Linked DNA regions of Yarrowia lipolytica. The protein of the gene in region 4 purifies or fractionates together with the protein of the main gene of each other region. This does not show direct contact. Links are inferred from orthologs where the notes say so. Each region holds a gene or a part of one and is shown on either strand. Other genes may lie near its edges. The genes, in order: YALI1_A21797g, YALI1_A13100g, YALI1_F34862g and YALI1_D06276g.

What was found.
Region 1: the proteins of YALI1_D06276g (region 4) and YALI1_A21797g purify together in Saccharomyces cerevisiae (affinity purification with mass spectrometry, with the first as the bait; 3 studies listed by BioGRID). This does not show direct contact. The link is inferred for Yarrowia lipolytica from reciprocal best matches to the Saccharomyces cerevisiae genes NAM8 and SNU114.
Region 2: the proteins of YALI1_D06276g (region 4) and YALI1_A13100g purify together in Saccharomyces cerevisiae (affinity purification with mass spectrometry; 5 studies listed by BioGRID). This does not show direct contact. The link is inferred for Yarrowia lipolytica from reciprocal best matches to the Saccharomyces cerevisiae genes NAM8 and STO1.
Region 3: the proteins of YALI1_D06276g (region 4) and YALI1_F34862g purify together in Saccharomyces cerevisiae (affinity purification with mass spectrometry; 5 studies listed by BioGRID). This does not show direct contact. The link is inferred for Yarrowia lipolytica from reciprocal best matches to the Saccharomyces cerevisiae genes NAM8 and LUC7.

What each region holds. Positions count from the first base shown.
Region 1 is NC_090770.1:2,177,847-2,183,334, reverse strand, and holds YALI1_A21797g (uncharacterized protein), read right to left. Parts: upstream 3,678-5,488; coding exon 825-3,677; downstream 1-824. Other genes in the region: YALI1_A21835g (uncharacterized protein), read left to right, coding at 1-777; YALI1_A21775g (40S ribosomal protein uS12), read left to right, coding at 5,428-5,488. UniProt on the Saccharomyces cerevisiae protein: Component of the U5 snRNP complex required for pre-mRNA splicing. Binds GTP.
Region 2 is NC_090770.1:1,308,410-1,313,417, reverse strand, and holds YALI1_A13100g (uncharacterized protein), read right to left. Parts: upstream 3,416-5,008; coding exon 863-3,415; downstream 1-862. Other genes in the region: YALI1_A13131g (uncharacterized protein), read right to left, coding at 1-57, 100-258; YALI1_A13095g (uncharacterized protein), read left to right, coding at 3,892-5,008. UniProt on the Saccharomyces cerevisiae protein: Component of the CBC complex, which binds co-transcriptionally to the 5'-cap of pre-mRNAs and is involved in maturation, export and degradation of nuclear mRNAs.
Region 3 is NC_090775.1:3,484,682-3,488,001, reverse strand, and holds YALI1_F34862g (uncharacterized protein), read left to right. Parts: upstream 1-1,784; coding exon 1,785-2,504; downstream 2,505-3,320. Other genes in the region: YALI1_F34870g (uncharacterized protein), read right to left, coding at 1-997. UniProt on the Saccharomyces cerevisiae protein: Component of the U1 snRNP particle, which recognizes and binds the 5'-splice site of pre-mRNA. Together with other non-snRNP factors, U1 snRNP forms the spliceosomal commitment complex, that targets pre-mRNA to the splicing pathway.
Region 4 is NC_090773.1:625,370-629,510, forward strand, and holds YALI1_D06276g (uncharacterized protein), read left to right. Parts: upstream 1-2,284; coding exon 2,285-3,577; downstream 3,578-4,141. UniProt on the Saccharomyces cerevisiae protein: Component of the U1 small nuclear ribonucleoprotein complex (U1 snRNP) involved in the initiation of meiotic recombination. Involved in the formation of DSBs at recombination hot-spots through meiosis-specific splicing of REC107 pre-mRNA.

The DNA.
Region 1 (5,488 bases), on a different chromosome or scaffold from region 4:
ATCAAGGAACAACTGGAACAGATTCCTGAACGGCCCAATTCAGAAGGCACTTTTGATTTCGGAATTATGGACGCAGAAGCTATCAATAAAGAGGAAGAAGAAGAAGAAGAAGAAGAAGAAAACGACGTGTTTGAGTATCCGGCTCTGTTTGAGCAGTGTGAAATCATTCAAGAGGCTCTGGATGACCCTTCCACTTGCGACTTTGTCATTGCATCTGAATCAGGAGAAGTGCCCGTCCATTCTCTGATTTTGAAAGCTCGATGGCCTCACTTCAAACTCATATGTGACCGAGATTCGACAATTGAAAACCAACAGAACAGAAGCTTGAGTCTCTCACAGCATCCCCATACGTGGGTCAAAGCCATGGTGGACTGTATCTACGGTGTTGACCCCCACATTGACGACTTCGATACTCTGCTCAAACTCATGATGTTTGCCGAGGTATATCAGGTTCAACAATTGCACGAGTTTGTCAACTACAAAATTTCATTCATCAAATTGAACCCCGTGCTCATGTGTCAGCTGTGGAAAGCTGCCTACACTTGCGACAACAGCTTTCTCCTGGACAGATGTGCGGCGTTCTACACTCGTCATGTGGAAGAGGTGTCCTCCTGCCAAGATCTCGAAGGACTCACAAAGCCAGAAATGGCTGAGCTGCTACGACATGTCCGACGCTCAAAGCCTGAATTCGCCGACGAACAACCAAAATACGCCTTCAGCCGTGGACAGACCATTAGCTTGGCTCCAATAACTAGCGTGGGTCGCAATAGTATATGATATAATGATTAATTTAATTTATGTAACCTATAATACAATCTATATACTTATCCCAACAGGCCACTCTCTGTAAGAGTCTTCAGCAACGAGTCATCGAGGTACTTGGTGACGGTAGGATCGTCCGACAAGCCCTTATGTCGTCTAGTCTTGACCACAAAGTCTCGAGCAAGAGAAGTGCCGCTCATGGCCTGAAGAGAAGGAAGCTTAATGCTTCTGTCCAGAGGATCTCCAGGAACAACCTGCCAGTCGTTGAAGATGAGAGAAACAAGAGCCTGACCCTGTGTAGCCACTCGGATGTCGGTTTCAAGACCAAACGAGTCCATGACAGGAACGTAGCCCATAACCTCGTAGAGAGTAGTGCCACCAATAGGAGTGTCAGAAGTGAGATGACCTCGGCGCTTCTCTAGAACCTCAAGAACAACCTTGACAGCAGCATGAGGACAGGTCACGTGGACAGAGTAGATGGGCTCCATAAGTCTAGGCCCAGCCAGCAAGTAACTGGAGTAACATGCACGTCTGGTAGTGGGAATGATCTGGCCAGCGCCTCGGAAAATGGCCTTGTCAGCCAAATCAAGATCCATCACCTTAAATTTGACGTCTCTAAGAGGCTCTTCGCACAGAGGACCTTCTCGAGTAGCCCACATGAAACCCTGAACAACACTGTCCTTCACAGAATTGAGAAGCTGTTTGTTGACTTCACCAGGAATCGTGTCGTTAAGAAGCAGGTTAGGACTGGTCTCTGTAGGACCAAATGCCCAGACGTTTCTAGACGCTAGAGCATCGTATCCGAGCTTTGCAAAGCCCTGCTTGTCTGTAGGTGTGATTTGGCCCAGAGATATGGTCTTTGATACGTCTTCTTCCAGAGGCTCGGCGATGATTGTGATTTTGGACTTTTTGTTGGGGGTCTCTGCGTATGTTTTGATAGCACTGGACTCCACACAAGTCTCGCAGAACCGGGTTGTGGGGTCAGACACCTTAACATTAAGGTCACGAGCAAACACCAGTCTCATATCATGCATAACGCAGTCCACGTAAAGCTCTCCTGAGCCCAATATGACATGCTCTCCGGACTCCTCCACCTTAGTTTGAAGCAGGGGATAGGACTTTTGACACTTTCTCAGAGAATCAAGCATCTTGGGGAGCTCTGAAGGGTTCACGGGCTCAATTGAAATCTTGAAAACTGGAGGAGTAAACTGTAGAGGAGAAAAGGGGAAGATGGACTTGTCTGTGGTCACTGTGGCATTCTTGATGATAGTTTTATCGATACCTCCAATCAGAACAATGTTGCCCACAGGCGCAGAGACCACAGTATACTTGTATCTTGTTTGGGACACAAACAGGTCTGTGATAGTTGCATCCGCGCAATCTTCTTCGTCCTCGTTGGGCACATAATGGGCACCCAACACCTTAACCTTCTGGCCCAGTCGCACGGAGCCAGAAACGATTCTAGACAACGCATAGAACGATTCTCTGTCGGCTGATGCAATTAATTTGGCCACCTTGACAACTGTAGGTTTCTCGGCCTCTTCCTTCTCCTCGCCCACCTTTGGTGCCGGGATGTATCGTGTTAGAATGTCGACCAATGGAGAGTAGGTCTCAAAGAAGGCGATGCATGCCGTTCTGATAAGGTCTTCTGCGTCCAGTTTCTGAGAATGTTTGGGCAGCTTCAGAGAACTGAGCATATTAACAGCCTTCTCAGGCTCTTCTCCAAGACAGGTAGAAAAAACCTTGTACAGAGGCTCCAGTACGAAGTACACGAAGGCTCGTTTGGCCGTGGAAGATGCTTGTGTAGAAAATGCGCTGGTTTCGGGGTTGTAGAACACGTTTCCCCACAGCCGCTTCGTCAGCGCGGTATAGTTGGGGGTCACCTTGCGTGCCATGGACTCCAGAGTGAACACAAATCGGAACTTGGCCGAAGCAAACATGACGTTGGTGAGGGGATCAAAGTACCGCTCCTCGCCAAATTCGGAGGCAATAAATATGTTGATTTCGTCGATCACGTTGGCAATCTTGTAGTAGGCATCGGCCGGTGGCAGTCGTAGATCCAGAATCAGCCGATCCAACTTGTTAATGCAGAGAGTCAGAGTGTTACTGTGTCTGAATGCGTTGCGGATAGCCTCCTTAGTACCTGCCAAAGGTCCCTCCACCACGTCCACGACCAGCAGAGCTCCTTCGGTGATGGACAAAGCACAAATAACCTCGTCGTAGAAATTCACGTGACCGGGAGTGTCGAGAAATGTCATGGCATGCGACTTGTGCTTGGAGTCGGCCAACAGCATACTCAGGGGGTTGGTCTTAGTGCTGACGCCTCGCTCGATCTCCACGGCCGCAGTATCTGTGTATCTGGACACGTGTCCGTTGATATGGCCCGAATGCTCGTCTGTCAGCTTGTGTGTCGCTTCAATCAGCATGTCGCATAATGCAGTCTTTCCATGATGAAGATTGCCCACAATCGACACGTTTCGAATGTACTCCGTCTGTGACATCATTGCCACCTGGTAGTCGCGCTGGTATGTGGTCTCCGGCAATCCCTCCTCCTTGATGACCTCTCTTTCAGGCTCTACCATGGGTTCTTCCAGGCTCTGCCCATCTCTGTCGTTATGAACGATTTCCACTCCAGGACCGTACACAGACTCCATTCTGGGGTAGTAGACCTTGTCTTCGTGGAGCGTGATCTGCTGGTTGCCGCCTTCCACCTCCATATCTCGCACCATGGGCTCCAGAGCCAGATGGGCCGTGTCGGGGTTGAGCACCATTTCCGTCTTGCTGTCGTCCTCGATTTCATCGTCGCTGTCGGGGATCCGTTGGTCCTCCTCGATATGCACCTCCTCCACGCCGTTGGCCACAACCTCTTCCACCTCCTCGCCAATGTAGTTACCAAACTCGTCGTAGTCGTCCATCTATGGTGTGTTGGGTTTGGAAATAATTGCCAATTATGCAAGGTATAAATGAACCTTCACAGACACGGCAGTGAGGTAAGTAAATTTGTACTGTAGGTGATGTGATATGTACGAGGACCTAGTGTACTTGCAGGTAAAAGTGCGAACTGTGTGCACGTGTAACTACGATTTTTAATAATGGTGTCATATCGACATGTTGAATACTAAACAAACACTATAAAAACACGATTTATTGCTCCTGCTCGGTATCACGCCACAATACAAGTATCATCGCTCCCAGAACATTCTCAAAACACGTAACCGTATCTGAGATGACCCTAATAGTGAGTGATACAACGGCTACAATAACGGTAATAGAGATGAGTAGTTGATTCTAATGAACAATATCTGTCATTTGGTCCTCTTGAGAGGTCCCATTACCTCTCTTGTCCTTTCGGTCTCTCAAAACATGTGTTTCTTCACCACCGTTGGGGCGGTTCATTGGACTCACTATAGAGATAGAGAGTCCATACTGCACTTGTGCGAAATTGTAGGTGTACTGTACTGCTATGAGAACCAAACCGTGGACCTGAAGTAGAGCAATGTGAGCACCAGAACATGGAAAATAAGGCAATAATGGATTGGCATTGTATATGAATCAGTCGTCCTGGAGAAATAATCGCCACATATCATACAAGTATTGGGTCACCTTGCCACTTCACAGTGTCTGCCTTGCCCAATATGGAATTTCCGTAACAGAGCTCTAAGTACCTACATACTTGTAATTACTGTAGGAGCGCCAAACATCACAAGCCGAGGCATTTCACGAGCTATTGAATCTAGACAGCTTCCTTCGACTTGCAAGAATATACGATGAGTGCGCCTTCCATCAATTCCTAGTTGCCTCCTACATGGTATTATCCACACACGTTGTAATGTGAAACTGACACACCAAGATCGGAGAAACTGCAGACGTGCAGATACAGTACGAGCACAAGATCTACCATCAGTAGCTATTCATTCAGGCCTCCAATCAGTGGTAAACCTAACTCAATACCTTCTCAATCTACAGTGTACAGTACTTACAGGTGCTCATACAAGTACACGCTCTCTCTCAGTTGCATCTGATCTCGCATATTCTCTTGATCATGGTGGCCCTGCGATAGTGAGACTAGTATGTACGTACCAGTACCACTATGGCTAACTGAAACCCTTTTATATTATTGAAAGCCCGTTCATGACAATCCATATTCCAGTATCTCGCCCATGATATGTATAAGTACATATTCTAGCTACTGCTGTATCTGGGTCAGTCCCACACTGACAAGACATGTTTCAAATGACCCTATCAGACATCTGACAAGCACTTGTGAACCTCGATTAACTTCGTGGGGTTGCTGTGGTTACGTATTGAGAGCTGACGAAATACCTGTCGACATGGATTTGAAATATCAAACTTCGAAAAATTCACTGGGAAGACATCTTCGAAATTGTACATGTACTCTAACATTTGAAAAAATGTAAAAATTCCAGTCTTTGTCAGTTGTACGGACTCTTTGAATACTCCTCATCTCTGCCCATTTGTAGGGTTAGGGTTCTCCCGTTGGAACTAAGCTGCATTAGGGTTAGCAGTCACACTTCACGTGATGACTCTGCCAAATTAGGAACACACGACAGCAAGGTTAGGGATTTCCCGACTGGCGCTGGGAGCATAATGAATTTGGAAAACTTCTTCTATTCTCTCCTACAACTCGACAGAACATAATCAAAAATGGGTAACGGAAAGCCTAGAGGTCTTAACGCTGCTCGAAAGCTCAGAATCCACCGACGAG
Region 2 (5,008 bases), on a different chromosome or scaffold from region 4:
TAGTCTGGCAACCAGATACACGTCCGAGAACTCACAAAAGATATTATCGACAAATATCTGCGCTCATTGACAAATGGCAACGCTCATAGAAGTGTGGACGTGTGTAAGTGGTTGGATGTCGTTGAGTATCGCGTGTCGTGGAAGTTGCTGAACATCGTGGAATGTCGTGGAACATCGTGGAATGTCGTGGAACATCGTGGAATGTCGTGGAACATCGTGGAATGTCGTGGAACATCGTGGAATGTCGTGGAACATCATGGAACAGTATTTTTTACCGCTGAAGTTTTTTGAGCAGAAAACATACGTATCTTCGCCGTCTGATCATCCCCGTTGTGTGACATGTGGAGATGTGGAACTAAGACGCCAAATTTAGAGTTTATCAAAAACCCGTTTTATGTGCGTCGATTATGCATGTATTATGCACTCCACCTTGGTCTAAAATGGCAGTTTTCTCCCATCACGCCCCAGAAATGAACATAATGACAAAATAGCAATTATTAGGATGTTTTTAAATCCACCAGTATCTAACGGTGCAAATTATGGTCGTTTTTGGGTCACTTTTGGGGAGTTTCTTGGCAACATTTGTTTTGACACACATTAGGTGGGCTCACAGAAAACACAAGGGGCGTCTGGTGTAGTTGGTTATCACATGCGCTTAGCATGCGCGAGGTCCCCGGTTCGATTCCGGTGTCGTCCATCCACGTGTTCTTCATGTGACTTTTTTGCTCCGGTCGAGTACTTTTCAGTTGTGTCATTGAGCAGGGTATGTACTTTTTGGTTCTGAATACGATGTCCTACGAGCACTACAAAAACTCACAGAAACCCATCCAATCCATTTCATTTACAATTACATACCTATGTTTTATTCCTGCATTGTCTCGTCCTTGTCGTTGGACTCGGCAGCGGGTTCAGCATCCTTGGGCTCGGCAGCGGATTCAGCCTCCTTGGACTCTGCGACCTCAGCCTCCTTGGGCTCGGCAGCGGTTTCAGCCTCCTTGGTCTCCTTTGATTCGACAGCCGAGGTGGCCTCGGTGACACCCTTGGCAGCAGCGTCAGCCATGGGCTGATCCTCTTCAACCTTGGGCTCGGCGATGATCACCTTCTTCCGGGGCACAATGGGTCGAACAGCAAGATACTGGCCGACAATGTCCTTGACATTGGTGGGAACCACTTCGAGAATCTGCTCGTTCTTAATGTAATCAACGTACTTTCGAATGAGCGACTTGGTGACCTGTCGCTTCCACCATCCGAGCTGCTCCGAGTCGGAGTCCTTGACGGCCAGGTACTCGAAAACACTCTTGAAGGGTCCAACGTGATCCTGCACCTCTCCCTCCTGGGCCACCTCATCTAGAGTTCGAATCAGACACTCCCAGCCGTGGTTCTCGGTGAAAACAACATCGCCCGGCGACTCAAACAGCCAGGTGATAATAGCAGCAGGCGAAATGACGTTTTCAAGCAGCAAAAAGTGCAGAACAACGGTTCCTACATGGGGCTGGTTTCGGTAAAACTGCATGACGGTTGTCACGGCAGCAGACTCATCTTCAGCAGACTCAATCACGTGCTGGAGCTGCTGGGCAAGACGGTTAATCCAGTCCTGGGACAGAGACAGTGATCGAGAGCCAACAAAGATGGCGGCTCCGATGACAATGTCCAGTAGGAGCTCTCTGTTGTCGGGGACAGCCTCCTTGATGGAATCAATCACCTCGAGGTATGTCTCGGAGACACCCTGGTCGTACTTGTCCTTGAACACGTCCAACAACTGGTCGGCGACTTCTCTGTACTGGTTCTCAGACTCAATGTACTCGTAGGTTGGCATCAACTCGCCGTCAGTAGGCACAAACACCACAAGTTCGTCGGGGAGAGTCTCCTTGATTCGCGACTCGAATGACAGACGGAGCTCCTTCTTGATGAGCTGCTTGATAAAGACGAGCCGAGGGTCCAGAGGTTCCAGATCGACGTACTCGACCCACTCCTGCCACTTCCAGGTGAATCCAAAGTTGGACAGATGGTGCGAAAACCAGTCCAGGAACCGGTGGATTAGCTCTGTGTCAAACGACCGCAGATTGGCAAACAGGAACCGCACCGCTCGGCCGAAAACAGGGGCAATGGCCTGAGGAGCCATGATACATGCCTCGATGAACAGAGAATGAAAGTACGCAGGCTGTAGAGGAGGCGTGGCGAGCCGAAAAAGCTCTGCCAGGATGGCTTCAGACGCCACGTCTTCCACCTTGAGAGTGGAGATGGGTCTGTCGTCGGCCTTGGCATCCAGAAACTTGCCACTTAGCTTGTCTACCGAGATTCCGGGTCCCGTGAAGGTGCCCTTGTTGAGGAAAAGATCAAGGGTGAACAGCTGCTTGGCGCACTCTTTTCGGTTAAAGTCGAGATTCTGGATGGTGTCTGACAGCATGTCTCTCCACAGCACAGCGTCGTATGACTTGGGGTCTGGAACCGTGTTCATGGCCTCGCCTTCCACGTCAATGGGCATGTAGGCTCGGAAGAAGATTCTGGGGTAAATGTAGTCTGTGGAAGTGGACTCGGCCAGAGTCTCGGGAATAGAAACTGCCGGGAAAACGTGTTTCTGGGTCACCTCCTTGTTCTCCACCACAGGCTCAATCAGTTCTAACACGTTGATGAACGACTTGACGGCCCATCCGTCCTTGGCCACGGAGTTGACTCCCTCGTAGAGGTTGGCCAGGAACAGATCGCACTCGTAGGGCTTGTCGTCGCCGGTGTAGGGCTCGACGATGGGGTTCGACAGGAACTTTTCGATACCGAAATGACCGTTGGCCTTCTCCAGCAGCTGATCACAGGCCTCCACAGACTTGCCCAGAGACACCAAAGTGGATCCGATGTAGGGAAGAGTCAGAAATATGGTGGCGTACAGCTCCTCCACCAGGGGATCACGCGACTCGCTACCCTTGGCCTGGTCCCGCTCAATTGCTCGATCCAACAGTCGATCCAGGAAAACCAGCACTCCTCGTCCCTCCTCAATGGCTCCTTCGAGACAGGCCAAAAGTCGCACGGCTATCTTGACGTGGTTATAGTTGCCCTGCTTGAGCCATCCTTCAATCTTGCTGTGCAGATGCTCCACTGCCAGCTGACCTGCCAGCGAGTTGGAGGAGTTGGCCACGAGAACAATGGCTGCAACCAGCGGTGTTTTGTGGGGCTGCTCCATGATCGTGGCAATGAATGTCTCGAGAACTCCGTTTCGGATCGCCAGGTTGTCCAGATCCTGCGCAAATCCGAATCCCGCCTGAGCAACTCGATTTGTCAGAGACATTCGAGAAGGGTCGCCTATCTCGACAATGTCAAAGTACAGCCGGTCGAAGATCTGGTGCGTGGTCTGCGTGTGTCGCTGCCGTCGCCCGCCGTCATACCCGTCATCGTCATCTCGTCCTCGCTTGTTGTACGACATGATGGTTGTGTGGTTGGTAGATTGGTACAGGACTGTACTTCCACTACTACTATGTAGACAAATAATTAGAGCGCGGGTTAGGGTTGGAGATTTTCCATATAGCTTCAGGGAAGAAAGAGTTGTGTGTTCGATTCCGGATGTTGTTTTAGTGGCAAATTAAAATTATGATTAAAATTATGAAGAAAATATGAAGAAAAAAATTGTGAAAAAAAAAATTGAAAAAAAAATTGAAAAAAAAACTAAAAAAAAATACAAAATGAAAAACTACAGATGATGCACCATGACCAGTATGTACACAAAAAAGTGTTACTTGGATATACACTTGTTGAATGGAAGGGCTTTACCCACTCACTACCCCCCCCCCCCCCCCCCCCCCAAATATTCACACCATTTATATAATTGATAGTCTGTTTACGTGATACATGTTTTCTACCTAAACACGAGATCGATCTTGAACTGCTACAACACACTATCCCATGCTGGGCTTCAAATCCACTTATGCGGAATACCTGGAGTTCAACGATGATCTCAACGCATATCTGTCGACTCTGGGAAATGAGGCGCTGTGGCTGAAGCGGTGCTCGGTGTCTCTGGTGTCCACCCTGGCAGCCCGACATGTCTTGTGTCCCATCAGCGACAACGATACCGACGAGACGCTGATTCGGCTGGCTAGCTTCATGGGAGCCAGCAACAGTGGTGGCCAGAAACAACAAAAACAGTCTTTGCAACCGGCTTCCTCAGCTTCCAAGTTGATACTTGTATCGCGCAAGATCAAAGAGTACATCTTGACCAGGACAGACCCCCAGCTAGGCGACATGCTGAAGGGCATCTCCGAGCCAATCGACATTGCTACGACCATCGAAAAGACCTTCAAACTGCGCCGACGACGCGAGGTGAGGACGCTGTTCTCCGAAACCCTGGACCGAATCAGTACTCTGAGGATCAAACGCGACAAGCGTGGCCTGGCTATTTTCGTGCAACGCAACCTCGACAAGTTTCGACGACTCAATGTGTCCTTACTGGACGGATGCAACGCCCTGCTGAACGTGGACAACATCGAAGAGTTTGAGTGGGTGGGCGAGTACGACTCTCTAGATAGTTTCGAGACCATGTTTGTGCCTGAACACATGGAGACCCAAGAGGAGGCCCCTGTGGCGCCCATGAACGCTCCCACGGAGACATGCGATAAATCTCCACCAACTGATAAACCCTCAGCACCGCAGACATCCATCACCGGCGCCACTTTGGCTGTAGCTGTCTCAGACTCGGACCGGAGTGCTTCGGGAGAACAACCTGCGACTCCTTCTGCTCCTGTTGCTGCTACACAACCGCCCTCGGGTACATCTTTACCACCAATACCAATCGGAGCTCAAACTGCAAGCTCAAGTACAGGCCCAGCTGCATCTTATAGCTCCGCCATACCTCCCCCTAGCAGTGGAGCAGCGTCCTTGTCTCGAAGCAGTACACCTGCTTCCATACCCTCTGCATCACCTGCTCCTCCTCTCGACCCATCTTCCCCCACCTTGTCCCAGGGAACGCCGCCATCCATTCCCCCTGCCCTAGAAGGCGGCAACACTCGTACAATGAATGAAG
Region 3 (3,320 bases), on a different chromosome or scaffold from region 4:
TGTTCTGTGTGTGCAGCAAGTACAGCAGCCGGTAGGCAAGAAACTCCAGCCGGTTGCCGGGCAGGCCCTCTTCGTACAGCGTCTTAAGTTGCGCCTGACACTGGTTGTACTCGCCCAGGTCGCTCTTTTCCAACGCGATACGGGCGTGAATTTCGTATACCTTGACCGTGAATGTCGTTCGAATACGCTGCACCGTTAGGTCTTGCCGCATCGACTTAAACTGGTCACAGATGTATGCGTAGTTCTGGTCCTGCTTCCACTTGGTCATCAGCAGCTCCAGGGTGCGTTCCAGCACGTCCACGGGCCGAACAGTATCGGGATTAGGGGCGGAGGTCAGCCGCAGGTACTTCTTCTCCAGGGCAGTACTTCGTCCTACAAGAGGCTGGTCGGTGGTCACTTCGGGGGCTGGGGACGCGTTAGCGTTGCCGACTACCGCTTGTTGCTCGCGCATGAAACGCATCTGTCGGTCTTTCCGCGATATGCTTCCGATGTTCTCCACATAGCCCTCCCCATGCTTGCTGTTGGTCTTCGTCTTCTTTGGGGGCATCGTGGAGTTGAACTGTTTCTTGTTAGTGTCAAATGCAGGTCGTTTCTTATTGTTGGTGTTGAGGTTGTGGTTGTAGCCGTTGTTGTTCATGTGACCATTGTTGTTACTATTCGTGTAGCCGTTGTTGGTGGGCAGGAAAACGGGGAGCACCATTTTACTCCAATCGATCGAATATGCAGTATTGGTGTTATACGCCTCGGTGATCACCTTACGCAACTGAGCCTCCATGATAGGCTTGTCAGGGCCGCTAGGACATCGTGCAAAACACGCAGCGGCAAACTGTTTGAGTCCTTCAGGCCAGTCGGACGCCGACCCAGACGTAGGAGGAGGTGGCGGAGGCTGCACTGGTGGGCGAGCCAGAGATAAGCGCGAGTTCACGGGTGTGTCTGTATTAGTGACGTGTTTTGTGACATGACAGTTGCCACGGTTATACTCACACTTGTGGTTCATGTTTAGAAGCGGGAAAGAATCTGTGTTAATACTTTACCTGTGTTTGTGTTGTTAATGCGAAAATGAAGATGCTTCTGAGAGTACAGTAGCACGTCGTTTTGTCGGAGTTTAGTGTGTTGGGTTGTGAGGAGAAGAAGATAACAGTTGCTGGCTTCAAAAAATATTGAATCCAAAATTCATTGGACATGTGTAGGGTTAGGGTTTGTCTGGCGACGGTAGGTGCACATGAGATTACTTGCGTGTATTGCATCATATGGTATGAGTGTACGTTATGACATAGACAAGGAGAGGTACTGTAGTCGGTACGAGTCGTTCCAGGCGGGGCTTTGAGTAATATATTTGCCCATGCAGAAGTTGAGGGAAATATTGTACTTGTACTTAATCGGATGAAGCTCACTAATTACTGTACTGTAAGCTCTTCCCGTCTCAACCCCTCAAAACACAGTTTCCACTAATTAGACGTCTTCAGACAGTGGCAAAAAAAATGAAGACAGTACATGTAAATGGATGCCTGAGGTGTTAGAAATCCTGAGCTTGAGCAGTTTATCTGCTCTCAAATTTTTTATTCAGTAGGTTTCCAGCAAATTTCTACAAGGATAAGGTCCCCCTTTGTATCCATACATTTCGTTTCACTTACTCTCTAGAATGCATGGTACAATCCTTCGACTGTTTGAACTATCTAACTTTGGGTTTCTGCATCTGCAAAAGATCCACCACCAAGTATCACCATATGTAGTACATTCCTCTTTTACAATCAACAAATCACACAGCATCACACAGCATAGAAATGGCCGCGGAACAAAGGAAGCTACTGGAACAGCTCATGGGAACTGAGGCTCTCGAGTCGATTCCCACCCGTCAAAAGATTGATCTATACGACCCCAAGGTGTGCCACTCCTTCACCGTCGGTCTCTGTCCTCATGATCTGTTTGTGGGCATGCGGTTTGAGAAGGCGTCGTGCAACAAGCTGCATCTGGAGCAACACCGAATGGAATACGAGCTGCTTGTGGAGCAGGGTCGAAATCTCACACCTCTGGAAAAGGAGTACGAGCGAGAACTGGCAAAATACGTGGTGGAGTGTGATCGAAGAATCGAAGAGGGACAGCTGAAACTGGAGGCGACCCACGACGAAGTCAACCAGATTCGGGAACTCACAGAAAAACTGGAGGCTCTAGATGGGTCTATTGCTATGAGTGTGGAGGAAATCAAACTGCTTGGAGAGCTGGGCGAGATCTCGCGAGCCTTGGCTGAAATGCAGCAGCTGGACTCGAAACGAGCGGAACGAGCGCTACGAGAGCGCGAATTGGCGAAAATGATGACTGTTGCGGGTTTCTCGGGTCACCAAAAACTCCAAGTGTGTCCCCCTTGTGGCGCTTACTTGTCGCGTCTGGACACTGACCGGCGTCTGGCTGACCATTTCCTCGGAAAAATGCATCTAAACTACGTGACGATTCGAAAGGAATATGCTCGAATCAAGCAAAAGCTGCGTGAGACTGGAAGACGATAGGTGCGAGTGGTTGGTCACCGCACAGTGCGGAGCGGTAGTGCAAGTGACTGACGAGAACGCCGTATTCGATCATTCGATGAAGGTCCCCGCATAAACTTGGTCGTGTGAATGCGTTCAGACTTGATACTGTTCTCATGCTAGAAATTAGAAGCGACGGCTTAACAACTGCGTCGAAGTGTGATCAGTGGTGAAGGGATCATGGTGGTCTCCATACGTATTTAATGTATATACACCTTAGATGGTTTGGTAATGGATAATATAATGTGCAAGTAGATACAGGCTACAGCACGCACTCAGTAGACCATATTCGTATTCAGACAGAGTATGGCACAATCAGGAACTAGTGTACACCTCCAAGATTCGATCATGGGCTGGCTACATGTATAAATAACGGAAGAAACGTTTGAAATGAGAAAGCTGAAGTCTACTGGAATTAGGAGATACATGCACGAGTATAGTTCCGGTACTTGTAGAGTATTGTGAAATTATATATCTCCATTACACACACCTTTAACTGCCTATGCGGGTGATCTATAGACATAACCTCTAGTTAATATGAGACGTACGAGTAAGTATCAATGCTCGTAAAAAAGTGTACAGGATGTACAGGTTCACAATTTTATAGCTGCTCCGTTACCTGATTTGCGACTTCTCAACGGTTCTGATTTTTCGCAAGCGAGGTCAATCAGGTTATTGGTTCTTGACACGTTGAGTGTACAGTAACTATTGGAGGCGTTGACATTGATCTACTTTTACGGAAATGTTCGGCTTACTGTACATGTGCCTCCCTACAAGTAGTATTAGTCTCCTGGAAAT
Region 4 (4,141 bases):
GTACTTGTACAACATACTTGCTTGTGCCTGTATATGCTGCTTAGTCAACTTTTCTACAGTCACTGGACTTGTTCAAGTAACCCATACTCTTACACTGCTTGACAAGAAGTACTTGTACTCGTAACTGGCACCAGTACACGCTGTTCACCCGTGGTGGATCAAGGTTATGAGTATTCGTCTTGTTACTGTAGTTCTAATCTCACGATTCGAAGGTGTTATTCCAAGGCTACCTCCAAGACCCTCTTTTGTCACCCTTCCACTTCTCGTGATCCGAACATTTTCTTGACACCCAGACTGTGTATAATTTACACCCACAGCTAAAATAGGTTAGGCTGTGTGTAACAGTTGAGACGTGGGCGATGTGTAGAAAGTGGGCTGGTGGAGAAAGTGGGCTGATGAAGACACACGCAGTTTCGTCCTGACAATGTTGCCGGCCGTCTCAAGAACGCGATGGATGGTGCCTCTATACGTTCTTCACAATCCACCGCCACTGCCCGGCTGACTAATCTTGCCCCTCTTACTCACCCCCTCCAAACAAGCCAAGCTCATGTCTCCAACAAGCTCAGTTGTGCCTGAGCGTCAAGTAAGCTTTTTGTCGTTTGAGTTTGCTGTTGTGTGATCGCAACGAAGAGAAAGTGGATGTGAGTGCGACTATAGCAACTTGACGGGAGTTGCGGCGATATGATGCGGCTGTGGAGACTCTAGACTTTCCCAGAAGACCGGTCGGCTCCGCTTCCAGCTGCTTACATAAGCACAGCCCCCCAGCGGCCACGTCACTCGACCTCATCTCGTCCCCGACAGTCCCTGCATTCCCATCAGGGCAGGGGTTGGTTGGAATGAGAGGATGTGGCAAGATGGGCACAACAAGGATGGGGGGAGAGGTGTGGAGTGCGCGAATTTTAAAGGGGCTCAATCTCCGACGGTTTGGTCACGTGCCACACTTGTCCCACCCCTCCGCCCGCTGGCCCCTAACAGCGAGCTTATGGTGGATTGGTCTGGCTAACAAGCTTCCGATCGCTGGCTCACTATTTATAGCTGAGCAAGTTGGAGGAGGAGAGTGAGTCAGTCTGGGTGCCAGGCACGAAGAAGACGACGTGTCACCGTGGTGGACAAGTTGTTGATTAGCAAGGCTTTTTGAGCGCGGTCTCCGTTCAGTGGTTTCGAAACTCTTGTCAACGCCACCGTCTCACCTCCACCACCTGATAAGCTGCTGCTATCCATAGTCTCCAACCCTATCGCGTGCAATTCCTTCCTCTTTTGTGGCTTTGCTGTGTCCCCACCGGAATCGTAGCCGAGATGAAAAATTTAAGAGAGCCAAATGAAAAGGGCAACAGCAAAAAGGGACTTGGTGATGAGCAACAAGCTGGCAATTCTTTTGTTGCACGCGTGAGCTCCTGGTTGGTTGGTATGGGTGCTGTGCACTGATGCACATGCTTCATATAACATGCATCCGTCTCGGGTACATTTGTAGCGAGCTCTCAAACAAACCTCTGTTGTACGATACAGTACACACTGTAGCCGGCTCAACACATTGCACTCTGTACAGCCAGTCGACGGCTAACGAGGCCTTTGGCGCGACCAAAGTGCTGAGAGTGCTGGAAGAGTCCTGTTTCATTTATGCGCACACACTGCTCCCGGATCAGCCGATTGCTTGCTACTTGTAGTGGAAGTGTAGACCCTCAGGCCAAGACAGGACGGGACACACTAAGGCACGGTGAAGGCTTCTAAAAGCGAATACACCGGCAAATAGACTTGCTCCGGCAGATGCTTGTTTGTTTGGCAGGGGAGACTACTTGAGGCACTACACTATCGCAGCGGTCTACCTTAATACTCGTGCTCTCGGGGGTTTTATATTCAACCGAGCGGCGGGATACTGTAATATTAAACGTGACGAAAAGAAAATTAGGGTGTCTACACATAAGCCTGCTCCACGACCCAGCACAAGCACACACACAAACACAAATAAACTCTGGTGACGAAATTCAACTTCGTGCATTTGCATTTTTCCATTTTCTGAGCTTACGCCTTAGCCCTTTGCATCTCCAGACACAAGAGTAGCTAGACCATCGCTGCAAACCGCCGTCGACACCCCCCAGAGAGAGCGCTTACGTCAGGCAGTCACTCTCAGCAAAAAAATAAAAGCAGCGCCTTTCCCCGCCTCGCCATAGCAGCATTCTTTCACAGAGATAATAGAGAAACGGCACTGGCACACCCAAGCACAGTCTCTCTCTCACAGAGTACAACACAACACACCTCTTGTCTCAATCACCCCACAATCCCGACAATGTCAACCATCTACATGGGCGACCTGGAGCCGTGGATGGACGAAGCGGCCATCAAAAACATGTGGGCCCAGGTCATGGGGCCCGACACCAACATCAACGTGAAACTGATACGTGATAAATTCACAGATAGCATCAACTATGGGTTCATCGACTTTGCTAGCCCTGAGCTCGCCGCCGCAGCCCTCAAATTCAACGGCAAGCCCATCCCGGGCACAGACAGACTCTTCAAGCTCGGAGAGGACAACGGAGACGGCGCTCCCGTGGAGTTCTCCATCTTCGTGGGCGACCTCGCGCCCGAGTCCACCGAGCCAGAGCTGCTGCAAGCCTTCAAGAGCAGATACGAGTCGTGCCGGGCCGCAAAGATCATGACGGACCCTGTGACGGGCCTGTCGCGAGGCTACGGCTTTGTGCGCTTCTCCAGCGAGGAAGACCAACAAAAGGCGCTGCAGGAAATGCAAGGATACATGCTGGGCTCCCGGCCTCTGCGAGTCTCCACCGCCACCCCCAAAAACCGACATCACCACCAGCCTTATATGCAGTTCCAGCCACAGCAGTTCCAGCCCCCGGCTCACTACCAGCAGCTGCACTCGCAGCACCCGTTCCCTCATCATCCCAATGGAGCCCCCTCACATCAGGTCCACCAGCCCTTCTACGGTGGGCCCGCACATCCGCTCAACCAGTTCACAGACGCCAACAATACAACTGTGTTTGTGGGCGGCCTGTCTTCGTCCGTGTCCGAAGACGAGCTGCGACAATACTTCCAGGGCTTTGGAGACATCACCTACGTCAAGATCCCACCCGGAAAGGGCTGTGGTTTTGTGCAGTACGTGCAACGACAATCCGCAGAAATGGCAATTACCCAGATGCAGGGCTACCCAATTGGAAACGGCCGAGTGCGGCTCTCTTGGGGACGGTCTCAGAGCCAACAACAGGTCCACCATCACCATCAGTATAGACCCGCCCCACAGCCGCTCATCTACCCGCAAATGGGCATCCCCGCCCAAAACTACGGACCCTACCAGCCTGTGTCGCCCGCACTAGCCCATAGACACGCTGCTCCATTGCAGACCCCTGCTATCGGCGACCAGGAAGGCATGTCCACCAACGCAACCACACTCGCGTACGCCGCCGGACTTCCTCCCGTGACTGGAGCCCCCGCGGCTCCCGGCGAGGACCCCTCGGAGCCCATTCCTGTGGCTCGGCTCAATGAGCTCTATCTTGCTGCTCGGGACGGCCGTTTAGACCGTGTCGAGTCTGAGTCTTCGGGCTACCATGGCGTTTACGCCCAGTAATTGCATGAGCCGGTATAACTGGCGGAGGTAAATAAGAAATGAAAATCGCAGTATGGAGCGGACAAGTAGCAAGAACGACTGGAGATATACTGTATGTAGTGTCGTACTTAGACTACAGGTAGTTGTATTCTGATATGAAGAGTCTGCGTACAACGTAGGATTATCTGTATAGGTGTTTTGAACGGTATAATATCACTTTCAAAACAATTACAGGCACTTCCTTGTTCATTGCTTTTGTATCTTGACTTCGTCTGTCGTTGGTCTTGTCGGATCAAAAGTAATTCCATTCCATTGTGTATACCAGTGGTCAATTTAACCCTCCTAAGCGATAATATTTGGTGAACTCTGAGTGTCTGAGTGAATGGAAGTGAGGGATATTTCGGCAATGAAGACCGATCAGCTACTTGTACACAATTTGTCGTATTATAAGAGAGAGGAAAGCTTGTGTTACTAGCAATCCTACTTCTGGACTTGTATCGTGGTTCTCGTAGATACTGGTTTGAATGCATGAGGTCAAGATGCAGGAATGCATGAGTGTGAAGAATACAATGCTTGTGTATATCC